3 linked regions of the Diceros bicornis minor genome follow. The protein of the gene in region 2 interacts with the protein of the main gene of each other region in a biochemical or structural test. Links are inferred from orthologs where the notes say so. Each region holds a gene or a part of one and is shown on either strand. Other genes may lie near its edges.

Evidence for each region.
Region 1: of the proteins of CDC34 (region 2) and CDKN1B, one has a biochemical effect on the other in vitro, tested with the Homo sapiens proteins (3 studies listed by BioGRID, with this or other methods). The link is inferred for Diceros bicornis minor from reciprocal best matches to the Homo sapiens genes CDC34 and CDKN1B.
Region 3: the proteins of CDC34 (region 2) and FBXO7 form a complex in vitro, tested with the Homo sapiens proteins (2 studies listed by BioGRID, with this or other methods). The link is inferred for Diceros bicornis minor from reciprocal best matches to the Homo sapiens genes CDC34 and FBXO7.

Annotation. Positions count from the first base shown.
Region 1 is NC_080756.1:48,208,242-48,215,232, forward strand, and holds the start of CDKN1B (cyclin-dependent kinase inhibitor 1B), read right to left. Parts: upstream 3,002-6,991; 5' UTR 2,535-3,001; coding exon 2,060-2,534; intron 1,540-2,059; coding exon 1,418-1,539; 3' UTR 1,410-1,417; intron 1-1,409. UniProt on the Homo sapiens protein: Important regulator of cell cycle progression. Inhibits the kinase activity of CDK2 bound to cyclin A, but has little inhibitory activity on CDK2 bound to SPDYA. Involved in G1 arrest. Potent inhibitor of cyclin E- and cyclin A-CDK2 complexes.
Region 2 is NW_026691553.1:212,586-220,482, reverse strand, and holds the start of CDC34 (ubiquitin-conjugating enzyme E2 R1), read right to left. Parts: upstream 3,016-7,897; 5' UTR 2,911-3,015; coding exon 2,734-2,910; intron 1-2,733. UniProt on the Homo sapiens protein: E2 ubiquitin-conjugating enzyme that accepts ubiquitin from an E1 ubiquitin-activating protein, and catalyzes its covalent attachment to other proteins by an E3 ubiquitin-protein ligase complex. In vitro catalyzes 'Lys-48'-linked polyubiquitination.
Region 3 is NC_080764.1:16,477,839-16,485,850, forward strand, and holds the start of FBXO7 (F-box only protein 7), read right to left. Parts: upstream 3,002-8,012; 5' UTR 2,787-3,001; coding exon 2,665-2,786; intron 2,538-2,664; exon of another isoform or gene 2,506-2,537; coding exon of another isoform or gene 2,469-2,505; intron 2,433-2,468; exon of another isoform or gene 1-2,432. UniProt on the Homo sapiens protein: Substrate recognition component of a SCF (SKP1-CUL1-F-box protein) E3 ubiquitin-protein ligase complex which mediates the ubiquitination and subsequent proteasomal degradation of target proteins and plays a role in several biological processes such as cell cycle, cell proliferation, or maintenance of chromosome stability.

The DNA.
Region 1 (6,991 bases), on a different chromosome or scaffold from region 2:
CTCTGTATGTCAAAATGGGGCCAGATCAAAATCCAGTAGGTCTGATTCACTGTGGCTCATCTGATGAACAGCCACAAGTCATAACAAAACAAGAGCTGCAAGTATTCAGGTTGCTTCAGGAAAATTTTTCATCCAACCTTCCCACTTCATCTACAGCTGTAATATAGAGGTTCTATAGTGCCATTTTGTATAAGTTCTGAAAAATATCAGATGTATGTGAAAAAGTCATATATATGACATTACGACTTAAAAACACAAAACAACAAAGTTAAAAACAAAACCAACAAATCCCTACGTTCTTTATTTTTAAATTTTTATAAATGAGGACTTAAGTTATTATCAACATCTATTAAAATCTCTTTATATGCTAGGCTATGAGTGTATTTTGGGGGAAAAAAGAGGTCACAGTCCTTGTTTATAAGAAGTTTACAAGCTATTAATATATGTAGTTTGATCATTAGGGATAGCCAATCCAAGTAAAATTGGGGGCTAAATTATTCAAATTAGCTACTCATGTTGATCAAATTTTAGTAGATGGAAAAATCTCCACTTCCCTTGTGCGGGGTAGACCTACCCTGCCAGCCCTGATAACTACTATCCATTTCCCCTACAAATATCCAAATCATCCTGTTACAGTGCGATTAGCATACACATGCTGACGTGTTCCTGGATTGCTTACTCTGGCAGAGTTAATTTAACTTCTGCTTTGCAACTTCAGTGTAATCAGAAATTCTGTAGGAACTTGAGTATTTTTGAGCTTTCCATTTTGCTTTTTTTAAATACACAGCTTCCTTCTCTGTCCCCAAAACTTGTCAGAAAACAGGGAAAGTAACAGTTTATGAAAATGATAAAAGAATGCGATATACCTCTCTATTCACATTTCTAACGGTTTGATTAACCAAATATGAGCCGTCTGGACCTAACTTTTCCCTCAAAATTTAAATTTATTTGCCATTTTTCCATGTATGGCTCAAAATCTGTTACTGACTCAACTTGAACTCTGGGAAATGAATTCTCATGAAGTGGGACTGAGGCATACCCCAGTTCTTGTTCAAATGGGGAAAGAACCTCTTGTTCCCAACATTTTTAGTGGACTCAGGGAATTGACCTTCCTACCCACCGGGCCTTGGTTATAAGTACTTGTCTGGGACACTTGCTCTAGTAATTGTGTGTGTCAAGGGAAAATGACCTCAGGACGTAGAAACTGTGAAGAATTACAGTAACCCCACAGTGAGTCTCAGCCTTCTCCATTCCTGCTTTTTTGACCTCAAAAAATATAAACAAAACAGAAACCCGCAAGCTCTAATCTGCCAGCAACCACTAAGATCAGGTATCTTGGGGTTTGAAAGCCTACGACTTCCTGCAGTCCAATTCGGGTGTTAGTTATTTGCTCCTAGTAATCAACCCACCGAGCAGTTTACGTTTGACGTCTTCTGAGGCCCGGCTTCTTGGGCGTCTGCTCCACTGAGCCCGCGTTCGGGGAACCGTCTGAAACATTTTCTTCTGTTCTGTTGGCTCTTTTGTTTTGAGGAGAGGAATCTAAGGGCAAGAAGGAATTTTAAAAAGAACACACACAATCTTTATTAGAAAAAAAACAATGGCTGACAGAAGTTGGCACAATAGTCAGGGCATGAAAAACCCACCACCTCCACCCACAATCCTGGATCCGTCGTTCCCAGGGGCCTTGCAGGGCACAAAACGAGGTTGTTTTCACATAACAGAAAGTGTCTTCTACGCCCCAAAGCTTTTTGCTCTCCATAGCGAAGGGGAGGCCGTTGATAAACATCCCATCGTTGTCACATACCTACCCCTGGCTAGCCAGGGGGGACTGCGATGGTTTCAGTTAGAGAAATGATCAGATAAGGCAATCTCAGGCTTCTGACTTAATCGTAAACAGACCAGCAGTCAGCTAGACAGCATTGAAAACCTAAGATTAGGAAAGTTCGCTCCCCAAAAGCTACATCAGAATACGCTGAAAAGAAAGCCGAGGTGAAGACCCTCGAGCAGGCAGAGCGGTGCCCCGGACAGACAGACATTTAGGCGTTTGCAGGGTCTTTACCGTCGGCGGCAGGCCGCTTCCTGATCCCAGTGCACGGCTCCGCTAAGCCCGTCGGGCTGTCGGACGCGTCAGTCTTTGGGTCTACCAAATGCGTGTCCTCTGAGTTTGCCTGAGACCCGATTAAAGGCACCGCCTGGCGGTTCGCGCTGACATCCTGGCTCTCCTGCGCCGGCACCTTGCAGGCGCCTTTGGGTGGCCGCGGGGGTCTGTAGTAGAACTCGGGCAAGCTACCCTTTTCCACCTCCTGCCACTCGTATTTGCCCTCCAGGGGCTTGTGATTCTGGAAATCAAAATTCCACTTGCGCTGGCTGGCCTCTTCCATGTCTCGGCAGTGCTTCTCCAAGTCCCGGGTCAACTCCTCGTGATTCACCGGGCCGAAGAGGTTTCTGCAGGCGGACGGCTTGGGGTACTCCGCCTGTCGGGCGTCCATCCGCTCCAGGCTCGGGCTCCCGTTAGACACTCGCACGTTTGACATCTTCCTCCCGGGTCTTGACGCCCGCCGCTCTCGGGAAACACAACCGAACAAAACAAGACGCCCCGACCCGGCCCGGACCCCTCTTACGAGCCCCGCGACTGCCCTCGGAGCGGAGAGCAACAAACACCCCCGAGAGAGCGCCCGAGCGTCAGGAGCGCGCCGGGCTGGGGGAGGGGGCGAGGGGGAGCCCCGGCCAGGCAGCCGCGAGCGGCCGCCGCTCAAGCGGACGGGCGAGCGGGAGGGCGGGGAGCGCAGCGGCGCGGAGGGGGCGGCAGAGCCAGTCCGGGTCCGGGCCGCTGCAAGCCCGCGGGTCCCGCGCCCCGAGCGCCTGTCCAAACCTTGCCGGCGTCCGAGTCGTGGAGCGGCGAGAACGTGGGGAGCAGGGAGGGGGAGAAAAACACCCCGAAAAGACGAGCCCCCTTTTTTTAGTTGCCCAATATGGCGGTTGAAGGGAGGCTGACGAAGAAGAAAATGATTGACACCGCAAGTCTATTTAAACAGAGGAGGAGATCCATTGGTTGCGGCGCCGGGAGCCGCGCCCCGACGAGGCTGGCGAGCGCGGCCTTAAGGTGGCCCCGGCGCGGTTCGGCCGCCTCCCCGCCTCCCCGCGCGCCGACTCCGAGAGCGCCGGCCGGAGATTGGCTGGTCGCGTGATTGCTGGAGGTGTACCGCTGCCAACAAACCTGCTCTGGCTGGCCTCGGCGAAATTAAAAATGAGACAAACAAACTAGCCAAACGGCCGGGAAGCTGGGGAGGGGCCTGGGCGGCGGGGCCGGTGGGGCCTTGGGTTCTAGTCCCGGCGCTGCGCTGCCTGGCGCGCGGCCGCTCGGAAGCCCCGACCTCCCGCTCCTCGCCCGGGAAATGAAGGGGCTGGACCAGATGATTCCGAAGCTTTTCCCCGCGCTCGCCGAGCTGGGAGTGCGGGCAGACGCTGGGAGCTCTGCCCCCAGCTGGGCTCTCAGCCGTGGCCCCAACCTCTGGCACTGGGGGGGAGGCAGGGAACATTCCCTGAGGGGCTGGGAGCCCCCTGCCTGGGTGACTTGGCTGGGGATGAGCAGTGGTGAGCTCCCCCTTAACCTAGAAGTCGCAGCTGTTCTAGGGGAGGCAGGGGGCTTAGGGAAGAAGCCTAGGCGAACGGCTTTCTATAAATTAGCCTGGAGTAGGCGCAGCATTTATAATGTATTCTAAACCCAAGCTCTCCCTCAATAAAAATAAGAAGGGAGTTCAAAATCAAAACCTGGTCTCCCAAGTCCCGTAGCCGTCTCAGACACATTGAGTTTTCAAAACGAGGTTACACCCCTGGCCCGGCTTCTTGCTTCCCGAGCACAGTGAAGGCCGTTGACATGGGCTGCGTGTGGGAACTCGTCTCCTCTTTGTATGTTTCAATTCTTTCCCGAGTTGTAGCAGTTTCCTCTACCTGAGTCCTGCCGCCAAATACAACAGCTCCTTCCTTCCTCTACCTTTCTCTCCCCCCAGACTCGCTGCTTTAACCCACCCAGAACAACATTCAGATGCAAGTGAGTGCTTTTCGAGGCCTCCAAGTCGTTGAAGGGTGAAAACAATCTGCAACTCCAGATTATGAAGTGATTTATAAAATCACCACACCATGTCCTCACTTCTGATATTATTATGTGGGCATTTCTCTGCTCCCCTTTGCAACTTGAAATTTACCTGTCCATATGATCTTGAGCACGGTGGTGGAAGTTAAAACGGGATGGTCAGGGCTATGATATCTGAGACAGAGCTCAAAGGGTCTTTAACTGCCTCCCCACCCCATCCCCAATACATACAATCTTGGTTTGGGCCCAGGTTAATACATTTTACTGGAAAGTAATCTCCTGCAGTTCTAATAGTACACAGCAACAATGTTTTCTTGTGCATCTGTGCTACACATGAGTTTGATTTTTAACTTGTTTTCTTCACCACATGTTTGTCCACTCTCTGTGCCTGCCTCACCTCATACTCTCCAGAAGGTAAGAGCTGGGAGGGGCCCTGGGAACCCTGTGGTTCAACCCTCTCTTTTTGCCACTGAGGAAATTGAGACTCAGAGAGGCTTCCTAGCCAGGGACACATATCCAGTTGGTAGCACCGCCAGGACTAGACACAGGTCTCCTAACTCTCAGGCTGGTTCATTTTCTGTTCCTTTCCTTCCTGATGGCCCCAATGGGTTCAGGTTTTTGTCTGGATTCGCCTGTGCTGTCCTCTGCAAGTCCTCCTCTCTTATAAATGATTCAAAATGGCTCCTTCTCCTGCCCTGGGCTGCCTGCACATGTCTCCTTGATATGGCCTGTGGTCACTGATGTTTAAAGGCAGCTGTCTCCAGCCTTTGGTATCACTATACACTAGTTAAACTAAAATGCAGATTCCAGGATGAGGTGATAGCCAGAGAGCAGTGAGGGAGGCAGTGCCCAAAACATGTTTCAAAGTCAGGACTTCCTACCTGACCAATAGAAAATATTTCACCTGCGATCAGAGTAAGATGTCTCATCTTAATTTTTCTACATTTAATGCCCCACTTAATTTACTGGATTGGAGAAGAGGGGGAGAGGAACAGGAAAATTAGTGTAGGCCTCAATACCATAATTTATACCCTATTCCTGAAATTTGATCATTGTTGAAATTTTTACATAAGTCCTAGACTACACAGGAATTCTATGTTATACATAAGCATAAATTCACAGTCATAAATACACAAACTACCATGTAAATGGAGATATTCTAGAGTATTACACCTTGTCACAAAAGTTTGATTTTATTCATGGAATTAATATCTTACATAAAAGTAGAAAATTAGTACTTCTATCCCCTACACACCCTGACTCTTTCTTCAACTGGTGTGTAGGAGCACCATTTTGTTGCTTTGTTAAATCTTGAAAAGTGGAGCACGCCACCTTAAGACGTCTGGCTGCCGGCTGAAAGGCTGTGCTTACATCGACCTTGCTATGATCTAAAGTGTTTTGTTTACAGTCAAGACACCGGAGATCTGTACAGCAAATAATGAGAAGGCAGGCGTCTGCTGTAGTAGCAACGAAGCGTGAAAAAAATACTATGGAGTCCCCGAGGGAAGAGGGAACGCGGAGATCAGAGCGCCATCCTCCTGCGGAAAGTAGGCGGCTGCAAAAGAGTAAGCCAGGGAGAAAAATTGCAGATAAACAGTGTGAAGGCGGAGCTTCGGTAGAAGACAGAACGTTCCACTTGCCCTGCTCTAAAATGGGCTCTGCTTCCCCAAGACTCAGAATCTAGTCCTGGGTGATGTTTTCGTTGTCGTTTTCACTCCTGGTAGTTTCCTGCTGAGAGCTGAGAAGTGTCACATAAGACACCCAAGATTTCTGTGTTCTTCACAAGCTGGGGAGATAGGCAAAGACCAAAATAATTTAAAAGAAAACACCTGTGTGGTAGACAAGTGTCCGAATGGAGTGGCTGGGCAAGCCCGCCCCTCAGATGCAGTCGGCGGGTGGGGGGTGCGGGGAGGGAGTTATACAGCCCCTAATGTTTCTGCACAGGTACACACTTCCTTGCCCAGTTGCCCCTCCCACCACAAGCACACAATTTTAATCCTTCCTTGAGGATGTTTATAACGAGGCAGCTTCTCTCAATTTCACTATTCTCCTAAACCGACATATTTTTAGAGTTTGGAAATTTCACAGTCATCTGTTTTTGACAGCTTTCACTCAGTTTAATAAATATTTATTGAGTACCCTCTATTAACTTGCTTATTCTTTGTTTCTTTCAACAAATATTTATTGAGTGTCTTCAATATCCCAGGCTCTGGGGATTCAGAAGTAAACAGATTTAAAACTGGGAAGAAGCTTACATTCTCGTGGGGGGAGGGGAGACAGAAAATAAACACAGTAATACATGAGTAAAAGATACACTATGTAAGGAGGTGATACATGCTGTGGAGAAACAACAAACAGGAGAGAGGGAAAGAGACTGTTTCCAGGTCCCAATGTGAACAGAGAGGTCAGGGAGCGCCTCACTGAGAAAGCGACCTTGGAGAGCAGCCCTGAGGACTTGAGAAAGTGAGCCATGTGGATATCTGGGGAAAGAGTATCTCAATAAAGGGAACAGCAAATTCAAAAGCTCTGAAGTGAGATCTTGTCTGATGTACTCAAGGAACAGCAAGGAGCAAGGGGAGAGTGGTAGCAGGAACATCAGATCATACAAGACAATGTAGGCCACTGTACGGGTTTTATCACTGACTGAGTGACACTAGGAGGTGTTGCCCAGTGGCTTGATGTGATCTTACCATGTGTAAAGCATTCCCCAAGGCATTCTCAGTGGGGAGTGAAAGGACGACTAAGTCACAGTCCCTGCCTTTAGGGAATATAGACCCTAGATGGAGAGACAACCACATGCACAAAAAAACCACAGAAGTAGAAAGTAATCCATGGAAGAACATGGTACAATGATGGAGTACAAAGCAGGGAGAAAGAGAAAGCCTTCAAGGAAATGAT
Region 2 (7,897 bases):
TGCGGAAGGGGCTCTGGAACCCAGGTCTCCCCGGCAGCCCCCTCACACACCGCACTTCCCAGGGGCCCGTCTATGACTCGCAAAGGAGAAGTGGGTGCAGCCGGGCTGGCCGAGAGGAAGGCGGAAGTGACCCATGGAGGCCCATGGGCACTTCCCACTCCCTGTATTTCCACATCTCCTGCGAAGAGAGTCTTCCCCACCCCCACACACCCGCACGTGGACAGGAGGGCCCAGTCGGCAGCAGAACCACGCTGAGTCTCACGCTGGCTTCTCTGAGGACAGACCCTACGGCAGACGAAATGAAGCCTCCAGTCTTCTCTAGAGCAACAGCATGACTCCCATCGCTAACCTGGCAGTTCTACCCACAACCCCTTGCAACCAGTTACTGGGCAATAGCCAGAGACCCACGTCCTCTCCTCCCAGACAGGCAACCTTGCTCGGAGACCTGGCCTGGCCTCAGGGGGTGACCCCGTTATCCCAGCTCTGAACCCTCATCCTCACAGCCAGCTGTCCCGAAGCACACAAGAGAGGCTGAGGAGGGCACTGGTTACACCAGTGACCAAATCCGCTGCCTGCATGGGGAGGCCAGGTGGCAGACACAGAATTTGGCCCAGGGCGGTCCACACTCGTCCCCTCATCCCACCCAGCACGAGGGAACCTCGACTCAGGGATCACGCCAGCAGACCAGGCTGCTCCATTAGCCCAAAGTGCAAACATAGACATCTACCCAGCAGCACCCGCCCCGCCCTGCAGCAGGCCGGGCTGTGGTTTCTGCTCCCCACCCAGGCCTCCAGCCAAGCAAGACCTGGCAGGACCTGGCAGGGCAGTGTGGGGCTCCTGGCCAGCCGTGACAGGGGGTTCCTGCGCTGAGGGCTCACTCCCCACCTGGCGCACATTAAGACCCCCGCGTTGTCCCTCAGGCTCAAAGAGCAGAGTGCTTCCACATGAGCGGGGTCGCTCCAAGGCCATGGCTGGGCTCAGACCATTAGACCAAGAACGCTGCCCAGATCTGGGCCCGAGTCCCTTCTCACTCCAGACAGAAGTACAGCCTGCCTGGGAAGCACTTGCCCAACAACAGGGAACCCCTAGGAATTAAGACACCGCAGAGGACAGTGGAGAGGACCCAGAGTGTGAGACTCGGGCCCCAAGGAGCCACCTGCTCTGTGGAACCCAGGAAAGGCCCGTTAGGGCGAGAGGAGCGCAGCTTCAGCAGCCAGGACCGGGGTGCTGGCAGGAGCTGGGGCCTGGGGGCGCACTCTGCGCTGGCTGCAGGCACAGGGCGGAGGATGGAGGGGCGGCCTCCACCCCCCCAAAAGAGACACGTTACATAGCCCAGTGATCAAGCAGAGGGCCTGGGCCCTGCTTTCAGCCGGGGGGCCGCTCTCCAAGCGCGTCCTGCTGCCACTTTGTGGGAGCTCGAGCAAGTGGCCAGGCAGTCACCCCACACTGGCCTCGCTCCCTCCCTCCTTCCTCCCCAAAGCTGCGGCCCCCACAGTGCTCCCGCCTCTGGGGAGCTCCCTTTGTCCTCCAGGCAGGCCAGGGGGGCAGTTGGCGGCCGGGTGGGCCACGGCTCCCTTTCCCTCCCTGCAAGGCTAGCCAGGTCGGAGAGACGGGGCACCGGGCCCAGCCTCCCAGCGAGAAGGGAAGCAAAACCCCGCATCCAACAAACAGGGGGCTCCGGCCTCCTCTCTGGGGGCCTGAAGCGGCCTTCAAGGGAACCCGGTTCTCGGGGACTCCTGGGGCCGGACGTCAGGGGACACCAAGGGGTCCCCCAGCCTGACTGAGGTGGGGAGGGCCCTGCCGGGGGAGGAGGGAATCTGGCAGAGAAAGGAGGAAGGTCCAGCTGAGGAAGGAGGAGGTCCAGCCAAAAGAGGGAGGGAGAACGCGATGCAGCTGAGGAAAGGGGAGTCTGGCTGAGGTAGGGGGGTCTGGCCAAGGGAGGAGGGAATCTGGGGCCGGTGAAAGAGGGATGGGACCGAGGGACAGTCACCTCAAGAGAAAAAGGACAGTTCGGTCCCGAGAAAAGGGAGGGGTCGCCCCGACAGGAGGGAAGAGGGGGTCCAGGGCAGAGGAAGGGAGGAGGATCTGGGGCTGAGGGAGGAGAAAGAGGGGCTGGGGCCGGGGGAGGAGGAGGATCCAGGGTCGGGGCAGGAGGGTTGGGGGCAGGGACAGGAGCGACCAAGGCAGGAGAGGAGGGGGGCGGGGGCAGGGGCAGGAGGGACAGGAGCAGGAGGGAGCCCGGGGGTGGAGGAACGGAGGTAGGAGAGGGGGACCGGGACCGGGGGAGGAGGAGGATCCGGGGTCGGGGGAGGAGGGTCCGGGGCAGGGGGAGGAGGAACGGGGGCAGGAGAGGGGGACAGGGGAAGGGGGAGGAGGAAGAGGGTCCGGGGCCGGGGAAGGAGGGTCCGGGACCCGGGCAGGAGGAGGAGGATCCGGGGTCGGGGCAGGGGGGTCGGGGGCAGGGGGAGGAGGACAAGGGTCCGGAGCCAGGGGAGGAGGAGGATTTTGGGTCGGGGGAGGAGGATCCAGGGCAGAAGAGGAAGGGGGCCGGGCGAGGAGGCGCAGGGGCAGGAGGAGGACCAGGAGACGGGGGCCGGGGCAGGGGAACGAGAAAGAGGGGCCGGGGCCGGGGCAGGAGGAGGAGGATCCGGGGCCGGGGGAGGAGGGTCGGGCGAAGGGAGAGAAGGGTCCGGGGCCTGGGTAGGAGGGGGGCCGAGTCCGGCGGCCGCGCACCTTGAAGTAGCCGCCCTCGTAGTAGGTGTTGGGCGGCCCGAAGATGGCCACTTCCCAGTTGTACAGGTCGCCCTCGTCCACCAGCGTCACGCGGAAGCCCTCCACCGGCTCCTCCTGCAGCCCCTTCAGCTCCAGCAGCAGCGCCTTCTGCGAGCTGGGCACCAGCGGCCGGGCCATGGCGGCGGACGGGCCCGGGGCCGCGTCGGGGGCGCGGGACGGGCCGGGGCCGGGGCCGCCTTCCTCCTCCTCTCCGCCGCCGCCGCCCGGGGCCCCGGAGCGCTCCACCCGCTCTGGCGCCGCCGCCGCCCGGCGCTCCCTTGGCCCGCGCCCCGCCCCGCTGCGCCTGCGCGACCCCGCGCCCGCCCGCGCCTGCGCGTCCCCGCCGCCGGGTCCCGACCACGCCTGCGCGCCGCCAACCCAGGCCCCGACCGCGCCTGCGTGCCCACTCGCGGGGCACGCCGGGAAGTGGAGTCCCGCCCCGCGCACGCGAGAGCGGCCGCAGGAGCAGGGGCCGAGTGCGCAGGCGCCTTGCGCTTCCGACCCCCGGAGGCCGCTGCTGCCCGGGCGGACGACTACGGACCTGTGCGCGGGGAGGCGGCGGAGCTGGGCTGAGACCCCCGGCCCGCCCGGCCTTGGGGGCCTTTTTTGTGACGTCCCCACGCGGGGCGGGGCAGGCCGGGGCCGGCCGGGGCGGGGCGGAGGGAAGGGCCGGGGCGGCCGGACCCCGCTGCCCGAGCCTCAGTTTCCCCGTGGGTCCCCGCCGGCCGCTCTGGGCGGGCAGACAGGAAGCCGGGCCGCTGCGGGGAGGCCCGGCCCGCAGACGGCGTCCTGCACGGGCGGTACCTCGGTTTCCCCTCGGAGGGGCGGAGCTCGGCGGGACCCGAGGGTCAGCGGGGAAACCCCAAAGTTACCCCTCGACTTGATTCACCTCGACGAACTGGAATCCCAGGAGATTGACGCTGCTTCCCCGAGAAACTGGAAATTAGTCCTCCTCCCCGTTCGGCGTCCGTTCAGCCCCCATCCCGGCCGAACGCCCAGGCTGAGCCTGACCCGGGCTGCGCCCTGATCTCAGGCTGACCTTTGACCCCAGCTAGCCCTGACCCTGGGCTTCACCGGATCCGCCTGAGCTCTGACCTGGCTGAGGGTGGTCCCAGACACCCCCCCCACCGCGCTAGTACTTTAGGTCAGGAGGGTGGGCGTGGCCACCTGGCCTCCATCCCTCCCATCTGCAGGTGACGGCTCCCCAGGAGGGTGGGCGTGGCCCTGGTGCTGGCAGGTGTCCCGGGCAGCCAACAGCTGCAACACCTGGGCTGGGCTGAGCTGACTCCCTCCCCCAGGTGCCCCAACGCCTGGCCCCTGGCCTCGTCTAGCTGGGGACAGCCAGGCGACCCCGTGTGGGGGAAGGAAAACAATGTCAGCGGTGGGAGGGACGGAGGAGTCTGAGCCAGCCCTGGGCAGAGCAGCAGCTTCCAATGGCTGCCCAGGGCCGGGACCCTGGCTTTCTGATCCATAAAGGGGAGCTGGGCCTCATCTCTTGGCCCTCTGCCCTGCACCCCAGGGACCTGAAGTGGTCCGTCCTCTGTAAGGTGGGCTGTGTGCCCTTTGCCAGATGTTCAGGTGTCTCTGACCCTCATCTCACCCATGGCGCCAGTGTCACAGCGTTGGCATGTGGCAGCTCGTCGATGAATAATAATGATTAATCATGACTCTTCCAGAGAGGTTTCCTGAGATCTTTCCTACAGCACCCCACATCCCAGGGGGGTTGTTGCGTGGGTGGGGTGGAACTGGAGATGTAAACCGGGTTTATGGCCTCTCCAGCTGGTCCCACGTGGGGCCTCGTCCTCCAGGAAAGCCTGCTCCTCAGGCTCGGAAATGTCCCCGGGGTGGTGGACATCTGGGGTCTCTGCCTACCTGTTTTCTGGCCACAGCACCTCGGTTTTCCCTTGGGGGGGGATCCTCACTCTTAGTCTGTAGGGTTGGAATTGGACTGACCCCCAAGCCTGGCTGCAGGGATGGGTCATCCAATCAGAGTTCCCCAGGCCCCCTGGCTGCAGCGGTTGGTTCAGTAACAGCATGACTCAGCCATCCCTGGGACTTTTTCTGGGAACACCGAGCTGGGGTGGCTGAGCTGGTTGGACCTGGGCCTGGAGTTATGGGGCCATCTCATCACCACAAGGCCTGTGAACAAAGTTGACACTCAGGAAAGCTGACTCGACTGACCAGAAAGGCTGATAACCCTGTTTGTGCTCCTGGATCCAGCCATGCCTGACCTCCACTGAATGTGCCAATGATGCAAGCTGATAAATTCTTTTCTTATGAAGCCAGTTTGAGTTGGGCCTTCCACCATGTGCCACAGAAGAGGCCTGCATTCAAATCTGAGTTCGGCTGTGACCTTGAAAACGGTCCTCAAATGCTAAAGCAAGTCTCAGTTTATCTGTAAAATGGGTTTCATGAAATAATATTTGAAAAGCTCTCGGCATAGATACTGAGAATGTTATAGAGACAGAGACGATAGTGTTTTTACTGCAATTATGCCTGTTGGGAAGAAACACATGATCTCACGAGGCGGAGGGGCTGCGGGGGTGAAGTAAAAAGGGATGCACAGGAGAGAATGTGGCCCCTTGAGGGGAGAGGGACGTGGAGTCGAAGACAAAGGCTACGGGGCCGGTGTGCTTTGGATGCTACAGAACCGGCTCCAAAGCCAGCTCTGCCTCTCCCTGGCTGTGCCATCTGTTACTTATTGTGGTGGAGAATAAGGGCCCCCCCAGACGCCACGTCCTAATCCTGGAGCCTGTGGGTACGCTGCCTCACGTGGCTAAAGGAACTTTGCAGATGAGATTAAGAACCTCGAGATGGGGAGAGTACCCTGGTTATCCAAGTGGACCTGTGTAATGCCACGGGAGGCGGGAGGGTCAGAGGCGGAGCAGGCGATGGGACGACGGGGCAGAGATGCACTTCGGAGATGGAGGAAGGGACCTTGAGCCCAGGATGTGGCGCCTCCAGAAGCTGGAAAAGGCAACAAACAGATTCTCTCCTGGAACGTCCAGAGGGAACCAGCCCTACCCACACCTGGATTTTAGGACTCTGCCCCCAGAACTGTGATAGTAAACTCGTGTTCTTTAAGTCACTAACTTTGTGGTAACTTTTGACAACACCCATAGGAATTGAATACACTTATCTCTATGGGCTTCAGATTCCTCCTCTGGAAAATTGATTCAGTCATTAAGTCATTCACTCACTCATGGCCTTCCAAGCACAAATCTAGGCACTGAGGACACAGCAGTGAACAAAAGGAGCAGAAATCCCTGTCCTCGGGGAGGCTGTAAACAAGCTGATGAATAAACAGCAATTTCTGATAGCAATAATTACTATGAAGAAAAATACAGCATGGTAGGTGTTAGCAACGGGGGTGGCACAGGAGGGTTATTTTGAGTGGGTGGTCAGGAGGTGGCATCTGAGCAGAAACTAGAATGCAGTGAGGAAGTGAGCCACGTGGGTCTGGAGGAACAGTGTCACAGGGAGAGGGAACAGCACGTGCAAAGGCCCTGAGGCAGGGCCAAGCCGGACCAGCTAGAGACCAGCGTGCCTGGGGCAGAGTGAGGGGACAGAGGCCAGAAAAGTAGCTGGGAAGTCTCTTGGCTCAGCTTTCCTGAGTGTTGGCTTTGTTTGCAGGCCTCGTGGTGACAAGATGGCTCCAGAATCCGGGCCCGGGTCCTCCCAGCTCAGCCACCCCAGAAAAAAATCCCAGGGCTGCGTCTCATTGGCCAGCCGGGAGTCACATGCTGTTCCTGAACCAATCACTGGGGCCAGGGTGCCGGGAGCACTCCTATTGGCTGGTGGGGTCGCCCAGGTGGATGAGGATGCAGGCTGGACCAGTTCAGAGGAGGAGCAGGCAGGATGGAGTTGAGGCGCAACCGACAGGATGCAGAGCACCGCCAGCTGAGGGTCGGGGGGCATTCAGCCCAGCCCCCCCATCTCCACCTCGGTGTCTGGGCGGACTGGGGGCTTCCTCAGAGACCAGACACCCAGAGGAGCCCCGGGATCAGGGAGGCTGACCAGAGGCTCTGTCCCCGACGTGGCAGGCCTGGGATGCACTTGAGATGTGCCCGAGGAGACGCCCAGCAGGCGATTGGCTCTCGCAGGCTGGAGCAGAGTGGGGCCGGGCCTGAGAGATGAATGTGAGACGCCTTGGCGCCCCCGGGGCCGTAACTGAAGCCGAGGGCCTGGAGAGAGGCCAGGGGATGAGGATGCACGAGGTGAGGACAGGAGAGGCCCCAGACGGAGCCAGGGGACGCCCTCCCTGGGGAGCTGGGAAGAGGAGGAGCCTTCGGGGGCAGCAGAGGGACCACCGCGAGATGGGGCCGGTGGGGGACGGGGAAGTGGGTGTTCCCAGAAGCGGGAGGTTCCATGGTCCACGCTGCTGCGAGGCCAGGCGAGGAGGAGGGGGCGGCTTCCCGGGGCTGCGCCGGCAGAGGTCACGTGGGGATCATGACAACAGGGGGCTTCCGGACCCGCGACCGGGCGTGGCGGTGACTCGGCGACGGTGAGGGGAGCTGGACAAGGCAGGGAGGTGGTCCCGGCTGGGGTCCCCTCAGCCTGATGGGGGGCTGGAGCGTGAGCTGCCCCCCGACAGCTCCACCTGAGGCGACGGGGCCGGCTCTGGTGCCCCCGGTGTCACTCACCGGGGACGTCTGCCCCGGAAGGAGGCATGGACCCTCCTGGGCTGTGTGGCTCCTCCTCCCTCGAGGGGCAGCCGCGACCTGCGATGAGGATGTGGTGGCACCAGCAACACCCACTGCACAGTGCCCTGCCTGGTTCTGATGACCGGGAGGCAGGGGTCGCCCGGGGACCACAGAGCTGACCAGAGGGTGCCCGGGCCGTGAGTCCTGTCCTGGCCTCGGGGACAGTTCGGGACTAACGCAGAAGGTCCACCCGGCCTCACCCACATCTGTCCCCTGCTGCTTCCTGGATGTGCGGTCCCCGGCCCGAGGCCACAGATGCTGATGCTTCGGGCGCGTTCCCGCGCGTGGGCTGGTGACATACTCTAGTACTAACCGCGAACACTTACTGAAGGGCAGCTTTGTTAATTTTCCGGCTACCACTGCTGCGTAACAGACGAGCCCAGAACTCGGGCTTTTATCATAAATCAATAAATCAATCGTTT
Region 3 (8,012 bases), on a different chromosome or scaffold from region 2:
TTATCTTCTCTCTTCCCCACGCTCACCATTAGAACTTAAGTTTCATAAGACCAGGTATCTCGTCTGTCTAGTTCAAAACTCTATCTCCAGCACTTGGCAAATAAAAGTATTTGTGGAATAAATGCAACCAACAAACATTAGCTGGGAAGATCAAGATGAGACTGAAATCAGGGCTACCTATTCGATGTCCTTACAGGACAGTTAGCTTACGTTGGTTCCAAAATACTAGACCCATGTCCTCAATGAATATTCATAATCACAAAGAGTTAGATGAGTATATGTAGACGACTGAGGACAAACTCATCCCTCCTACGGACAGGTTCAAGTTCACCCTTCTTACTGACGGTCAGTTATGATGTCTTTTTTATGGAAGACAGCACAAATCCAAAAACCCATTGCTAAACAAGCTAAGAGCTCAAATTAGCCTGAAGCAATGAACTCCCATCCCTTCTGCATCACAGATCATCTGAGCTTGAAAAAATAACCATCATTTCATCACATAGCAGTGAGGATTAATTAACAAACCACTGTAGAACATTTTATAGGACATTTATACTCAGCAATGCTGACTTCATTAACTTTTTGAGAGGTTAACAAAGGACGAGTCCTTTGAAAATAATATTCTGTTTATTCTCTCTTACAATGCTGCATTTTCAAAAGTGCTCGAAATAATTCATTTATGTTTTTCTCTCACATGTAAATACGTTTTGTCTTACCAACTAAAGTGTCTTTGGATAGAGAAATTACTAAAGTTTTAGAAAATACTCCTGCTTATTAGAAAATAAGTAGCTATGCTTCTGTCTTCAAATGCTTTGATAAGTGTTGAAAATCTGCCAGCTGCCCAGAAAAACACCATCCCAACTTCGGGAGAAAAAAAGAAAGACACCTCAAATGAACTATGTGTTTATGGATCATCTGTCAAAGCAAAAGGTTCTTTTTAATGGTATCCAGTACAATGTTCGTTCAAATATCTAACTTATAGAAAACACAAAGAATTGTCTGCTTAATAAAAACGTCGGCCTTCCCTCCCCCTTTAGAAAAAAGGAAGGGCTATTTCTAAAGTAATATATGGTTTTCCAGGAAAGGGGTTAAAAAATGATTCTGTTTTCTGAAATAGTGAAAAAAGTTCATCGGGAAAAGTATCCTAGAAATTTCAAGACTTTTAACAATATTTTATGGCTATCCCAGATCCACTTGCTCAGCAAAGACACTCGAAAAATAATAATGTCATATAAACACATTTTAAAACTGCCAATTTATTCTAAAATGAACATATTTTCAGAGAAATGAATTTACTTTCACAAGCTGAAGCTTACATTCCTTCCAGTTAACCATTCTCCACCGTAAAAACAAACCTGAAAGAGAAACTAACTTGAGCTCTTGGGTAAACAAAGAGTCATATTGGGTTTCACATCCTTTCAACACTGCCTCGCCTAATTAAAAAATAATAATAATAAAATATATACACATATATATATGAAAATACTTTAAAAAGAGAATTTTGAAAATTTGTGGTGGAGTAACGGACGCCCGCATGCAAAACACTTAGCTTTCACACAACGAAATAACAATAGGCAGGTCACTTAATATAATGTTTAAAAGGAGTTACGTCAATACATTATTTTCTGTTTTTATTTTTTAATTTAGAGAAAAACAGGCTTACTTTTAACGTAATAGTGCCTTAACCTGAAAAACGAAAGGGTGAGTTCATAATATGGCATCATTTTACTGAATTCCCTAAAAATAAAGTTTATAAAAAGAGCCAATTAACAGAGAGGTTTTCCATTGAAAAATTCACCTAAACAGCCCCAGTGAACTTTTTTTTCATTTTTTTCAGCACAAATTTCAAATTCGATAGCTGAATATTTGAAGAGGACCATCCTTACTTTTGGACGGTCTAACTTCTACTCCCAAGGTTATTATTAACAGTCCTCTACTCCCAGATTATTGTCCCCAGAAAATGCCCTCGGTGGAAACAAAGCAGCCTCATCTGCAGCCTCATAAACGAACAACAGAATTTGACGCTTTGTTTCTCAACGTCATTGCCCCCAAACTGCAAGCTCTCCAGGGTCATCACTTAAGGCCAACACTGATCTTAGTTTCAGCAAAAAAGCAACATCTCGCCCAGGAAAATTAAAAGATCTGAAACCCGCCGACACCTTAAAACTCCGCAAAGGGTGAGTCAACACCCCACGAGTTTTAGGATTATCGCAGCCTCACAGCGGTACAAATTACAGGTGGCCTCGGAAGGAGGGCCGATTTCTAACTCCTTCCAGCACTTTCCAAACTTTTCCACTGAAATACTCCGACAGCTGGAGAGGGTGAACTTAACTTAAACCCCTGAGAGCCTGGCAAGGTTTCACCCAGCCAAGCGCGTCCTCTCCAACTGGACGTTGCACAGGGCGCGAGAACTGTGCTCCTGGCCCACCCCAGGGTTCCTCGACTGCAAAGGCGGAGGGACGGCTCACCCTGGAGGGGCACGGAGCCCCCCGCCCGCCGGGCCATGTCTCCGCGGGCCGCCCCCGGCGCCCGCTCCCCGCCGGCCTGCGCGTCACAGTCCCCGGGCCCGGCCCCGCGACGCCCCGCTCTCCGCCCGCCTCACGTGACGGCCCGGGGAGTGCCCGCGCCACCCGCCTCCCCCGGGGCCCCGCCGCGGCCGCCCACCTGTACCCCGAAGCGGGCAGCAGGGCCTGGCTCAGGTGCGCGCGCAGCTGCCCCAGCGTCGGCTCCGCTTCGGGCATCTCCAGCGGCCAGGTCCGCTTCTGAAGCCGCACCCGCAGCTTCATGGCGGCGGCGGCGGCAGCGGGAGGGCCCCGGGGCCTGGACCTGGAGGCGGCGACGGGGACCACGGCGCCGCCGGGCAGCTCCCGCCTCAAGAGGCGGCGGCGGCGACCCCGAAGCGGCGACTACCGGAGCTGTGGGGGTGCTGAGCTGTCACCGGCAGAAGGCCACACTACGGCGGCCGGCCTGCTAGCGGGTCTCTGGCGCGGGAGCGCTCCGCCCCTCTCCTGAGGGCGCCCCCTGGAGCCCACCCCGCTGGCGGGCGGCGGGCGGCTGCGCCGAGCCAGGCCGCTCGGGGACTGCGATCGATGACTCGGCGCGCAACGGCGCCACCTGGGAGCGCGGGGGCGCACTGCGCAGGCGCCGAGGGGCCGCGGCTCGCCTGTGTCCCCGTCGTTCCGCCGCCGTGGCTGTGCCCGCTCCCTCCAGGTGTACCTGGAGGGCGTTAACGCTGAGAGGGATGCTGGAGACAGTACAGCTCGCCACTCCGCAAGGCCCAGGTGTGCCTGGCTCTTACCGCGTTTCCTCCGTGGCCTTAGGTTGAGCCCAGGCTCTGGTGGTTTCCTCCTATGACAGTAGCAAAATGGTAGAACAGCTTGTAGTCAGTGATCTCTGTCGGAGAGTATATCAGTAATCTGTTGCTGCATAACAATCACCCCAAAGCGTAACAGCTGAAAACAAACATTTATTGTCCCACAGGTTCTATAGGTCAGGAATTGCGGCATGGCTTGGCTGGGTCGTTCTGTCTTGGTCTCTCATCTACAGTCAAGATGTAGGCCAAGGCTGCAGTTATCTGAAGTCTTGACTCCTGCTGGCGATTCTGCTTCCAAGATGGCTCACTCACATGACTGTTGGCAGGAGGCCTCAGTTTTTCACTGCATGACCTCCCCATAGGGACCTCTTGAGTGTCCCCGTGATGTGACATCTGGCTTCCCTCAGAGCAAGCAATCCCAGAGAGAGGAAGGCAGAATCCGTAGTGTCTTTTATGATCTAGCCTCAGAAGTCACACACCATCACTTCTGTCATATTCTATTGATCACAAACCAACCCTTCAGTGTGGGAGGATCAACCCAGAGGCATGAATACCAATACACAGGAGTCATTGAGCACCATCTAGGAGACTGGCTACCACAGAGGGTCTGACAATAATGGTGATGATGACTTAGATGAGGGAGAGAGCGTCATCACCTTTCATCCTTGGATGCTAGCCATTGTCCAAATCCTTATAAAAGAGTTGAATAAAGTTTCTTCCAGTAGGTGGCAGTGCTTGCCCACATCCTGGCTTTCATTCAGTAAGGAAATGTGCTAATCACCTACTTTGTGCCAGATATTATCCTAGGTGCTGAGAACCCAAAGACTGAAAAGACATGTTCCTTCCCATGCAGAGCTTACAGTTGAGTGAGTAAACTCCTGTAGTAGAGTGTAAGAAGTGTCTTGTTTATGATATAGATAAGAACAGTCCTGGGGATCAGGGTACATAGAGAAAAGTTGCTGTGTCAATAGAGTTCTTTAGTGGCAAGCAATATGGGATCAAGGAAGGGTGGCAGGACCAGGGTGGCTCAGTGTGGCCAGAGTGAAGGACAGAGTGGGTATATCTCAGATAAACAAGAGCCTTGAGCTCAGCAAAGGATTTGGGACACATTCTAGAATGTATGCGAAGCCACTGGAGAGTTTTAAGCAGAGGAATCTTTATCAGCGTTCTTAGTTCTGAGCGCTAGAGGCTGACTCTGGCTGACTAAGCACAAAAGGAGCATATTAAAAGGATACTGGCTAGCTCAGAGTATTCTGGGGAGGACTGGAGAAGTGGCTCCAGGCTAAGCTTCCAGGAATGAAGCTCAGAACCACGCAGAAGAACTGGCCTGATAAGGAAACTACCATGACTGGGATTGCTGCTGACACCCCACCCCACAGTGGAGGAAACTGCTGTCACCGCTGCCAGGAACCACTGGGGAATGGCTTCCACCTTCAAATGCCGCACGTTTTTGCGGTCTCCTCCACCGACAAAATGCCAGGCTTCCAAAAGAGCCTATTTCCTCGTCTTGCTCTCTTCTAAATCAAAGCCTCATAAGGATGCATCTGATTGAGGGAGACCCATGCCTGAGTCCTGGCTGCCAAGAAGACTGGAATTTGGGGTCCAAACTCCTTCCTTGGGGAAGCGAGACTTATAATATTGGAATTTCCCCAAATATAGGAATGCTGTTCAAAAGAGGATAGAAAGCCGTGAGCCTGACAGGTGTATACCACAAGCAGGTGGGTCAGATCTGAAATGTGAATATATCACTGGCAGAGTGTGGGGGGATGTATTAATTAGATAAGGGTTTCTCAACCTCAGCACTATTGACATTTGGGGCCTCATGAGTCTTTGAAGTGGAGGACTATCCTGTACCTTGTAGGATGTTTAGCAGCAGTTCTAGTCTCTAGCCACAAAATGCCAGTAGAACCCGCCTCTCGGTTGTGAGAACCAAAGATGCCTTCAACCTTTGCCAAATATCCCCTAGAAGGCAAAATTGCCTTGAGAACCACTGGATTAGAGACCAGCTCAGGAGGCTTTTTTGGTAACAGAGGAAAAAGGAATTAGTGGAATGACAGTGGGAATAGAGACAACAGGATGGGCAGGGACAATGTTACAGAAGTAAAACTAAGAGAACTTGGAAAATGGCTGTATTTGGAACCATATTAGTTAGGATATAGCTTCAGCTGTTCTAACAGAGACCTAAACTAATAGTGACCTAAACAAGATATGAGTTTATTTCTCTCTGAAATAACATTTGTGGAGAAAACAGTGGAAGGCTAATATGGTGGCCATCTTTGGAGACCATCTACCACAGTCCACCTCTTAGTACTATGTAAGCCTGGGTAAGTTACTATCTATAAAAATGAAAATACTAACAAGAATATATCAGACAAGTATGTTGTAAAGCTTCAGTGAGATAATACCTTTTGTTTTGTTTTAAACCACTAAGTTTGTGGTAATTTGTTACAACAATAATAAAAAACGAATTCACCTGGGATCCTTGTTGCAACCCTTTGCCCAATAGGGTGTAAGCACTGGTATGGCAGAAGTAATCCAACCACAGGAGGGTAGGAGGGTCCTGGAAGACAACTAGAGCATTCTCAAGACACTGCCAAGATTTAAGGTACTCTGGAGGATGATCCTCCAAAACTTCAAAAGTCCATGAGAATGTTATATACTCGGTTGTCTCAACTATCTCCCTCCTTGAGAATTTTTTTTTCCTTTTTTCAGGCTGTCACCTTAATGTCTGCAAGCAATAAGCACTGCAACTTTCAAAGAGTTTGGAAATTTTAATTGCCTTTTTTTTTCAATGGGCCATTTCATAGTGTACGACAAAAGGATGATGTCACTTTTCTGTGGGTATCCGTTCATTGTCTCCCTTGAGGCTTTTTTTAATAAACTTTTAATTTTAGAACAGTTTTAGATTTATAGAATTATTATGAAAAGAGTTCCTGTTTACCACATACCTGTTTTCCCTATTATTAACATCTCAGATTAGTATGTAATTTCTCACACTTAATGAACCAATATTGATACATTTTTATTAAGTAAAGCCCATACTTTATTCAGATTTCCTCAGTTTTTTCCTCATGTCCTTTTTATTTTCCAGGATCCCATCCAGGATGCCATATTACATTAAGTCGGCATGTCTCCCTAGGCTTCTCTTGGTTGTGACAATTCCTTAGACTTTTCTTGGTTTTTTTTAATGACCTAGACAGTTTTGAGGATGACTGGTCAGGGATTTTGTAGAATGTCCCTCAGTTGGGATTTGTCTGATATTTTCTCATGATTAGACTGAAGCGATGTGCTCGTGGGAGGAATACCACAGAGGTAATGCGCCATTCTCGTCACATCACATCATATCAGCAGTACATACTATCAGTATGACTTCTTGCTGTTGGTGTTAACCTCATCACTTGGCTTCTCCACTGTTAAGTTCCGCCTTTTTTCTCCTTTTCGTACTCTGTAGCCTTTGGAAGAAAGTCACTGTGTGTAGCCAACACTTAAAGAGTAGGAGTTATGCTCCCCCTCCTTAGAGGTGCAGCATCTCCATAAATTATTTGAATTTCTTCTGCACAGGAGATTTGTCTATTTTCTATTTATTCAATCATTTATATCAGTATGAACTTATAGACACTTATTTTATACTTTGGTTTATAATCCAATACTACTACTTTTTGTTGTTGTTGCTCATCTTCTTCCAGCTTTGGCCATTGGGAGATCTTTCAGTTGACTCCTGTATCCATTTGATATCGTTATGGATTTTTATTCATTTTCTTTTTTTCTGTTGTTGAGCACTTTCTCACTTTCTGGCACTACAAGATGCTCCAGGATCATCTTGTATATATCCTGCCTCAACCCTAGAATCAGCCATTTTTCCAAGGAGCCCTAGTTCCTTTTGTTGGAGAATGGTATTAGAAATCAAGATCTGGGCGCTAGGTGTGCTCACGGCTGCTGGGGCATTGTTGCTTCTAGGCCTTCTCAGCTGACAGAGCGAGGAGACATCTATGTGTATATACATAACCATCTGTATCTGTATTAAGCAAAGCATGAGTCCATTTTGATGTTTCCAACTCTAATGCATTACCACACAGATCATTCTTGCCTCCTCCCTTGCTTATCTGCAACCTCCCAATCCAACTGTGACAAACCTGGCTCCCACCATCCACCATCCATTTGCCTAATTGTTCAATTCCAGTATACATATATTGTGGTTTCAGAATTGTTAACCCATACCCCTGTGTAAAACAACATTATCCAGTAGAGTACAGTGTTTAAACAATAGTTTCTGTTGCCTTTAGTCTTAACAAATTCCATTCATTTCCTAAGTTACATAGGTCAGCACCTTGTTTCCCCATCCTCTAAAGCAAGGTTGTTTTATATGTTTGTAATGTATTTAGATTCTTTTGTCACATTCTGCATTCCATCCTGGATCCCTCAATCTCCTAAGTGATTTTTTAAAATTTACATACGTTAAGGTTTACTCTTTGAGCTGTAAAGTTTTACGGGTTTTGACAAATGCTTAATGTCTTGTTTCACCGTTATAGCATAGTACAGAATAGTTTCACCAACCTAAAATATCTGTGCTTCAACCTCCTCCACCCCACCCCCTCACCCCTGGCAATCACAGATCTGTTTAGTTTTGCCTTTTCCAGAATGTCATATAATTGGAATCACACAGTGTGTAGCATTTTCTAGCTTCATGACTAACTTGTTT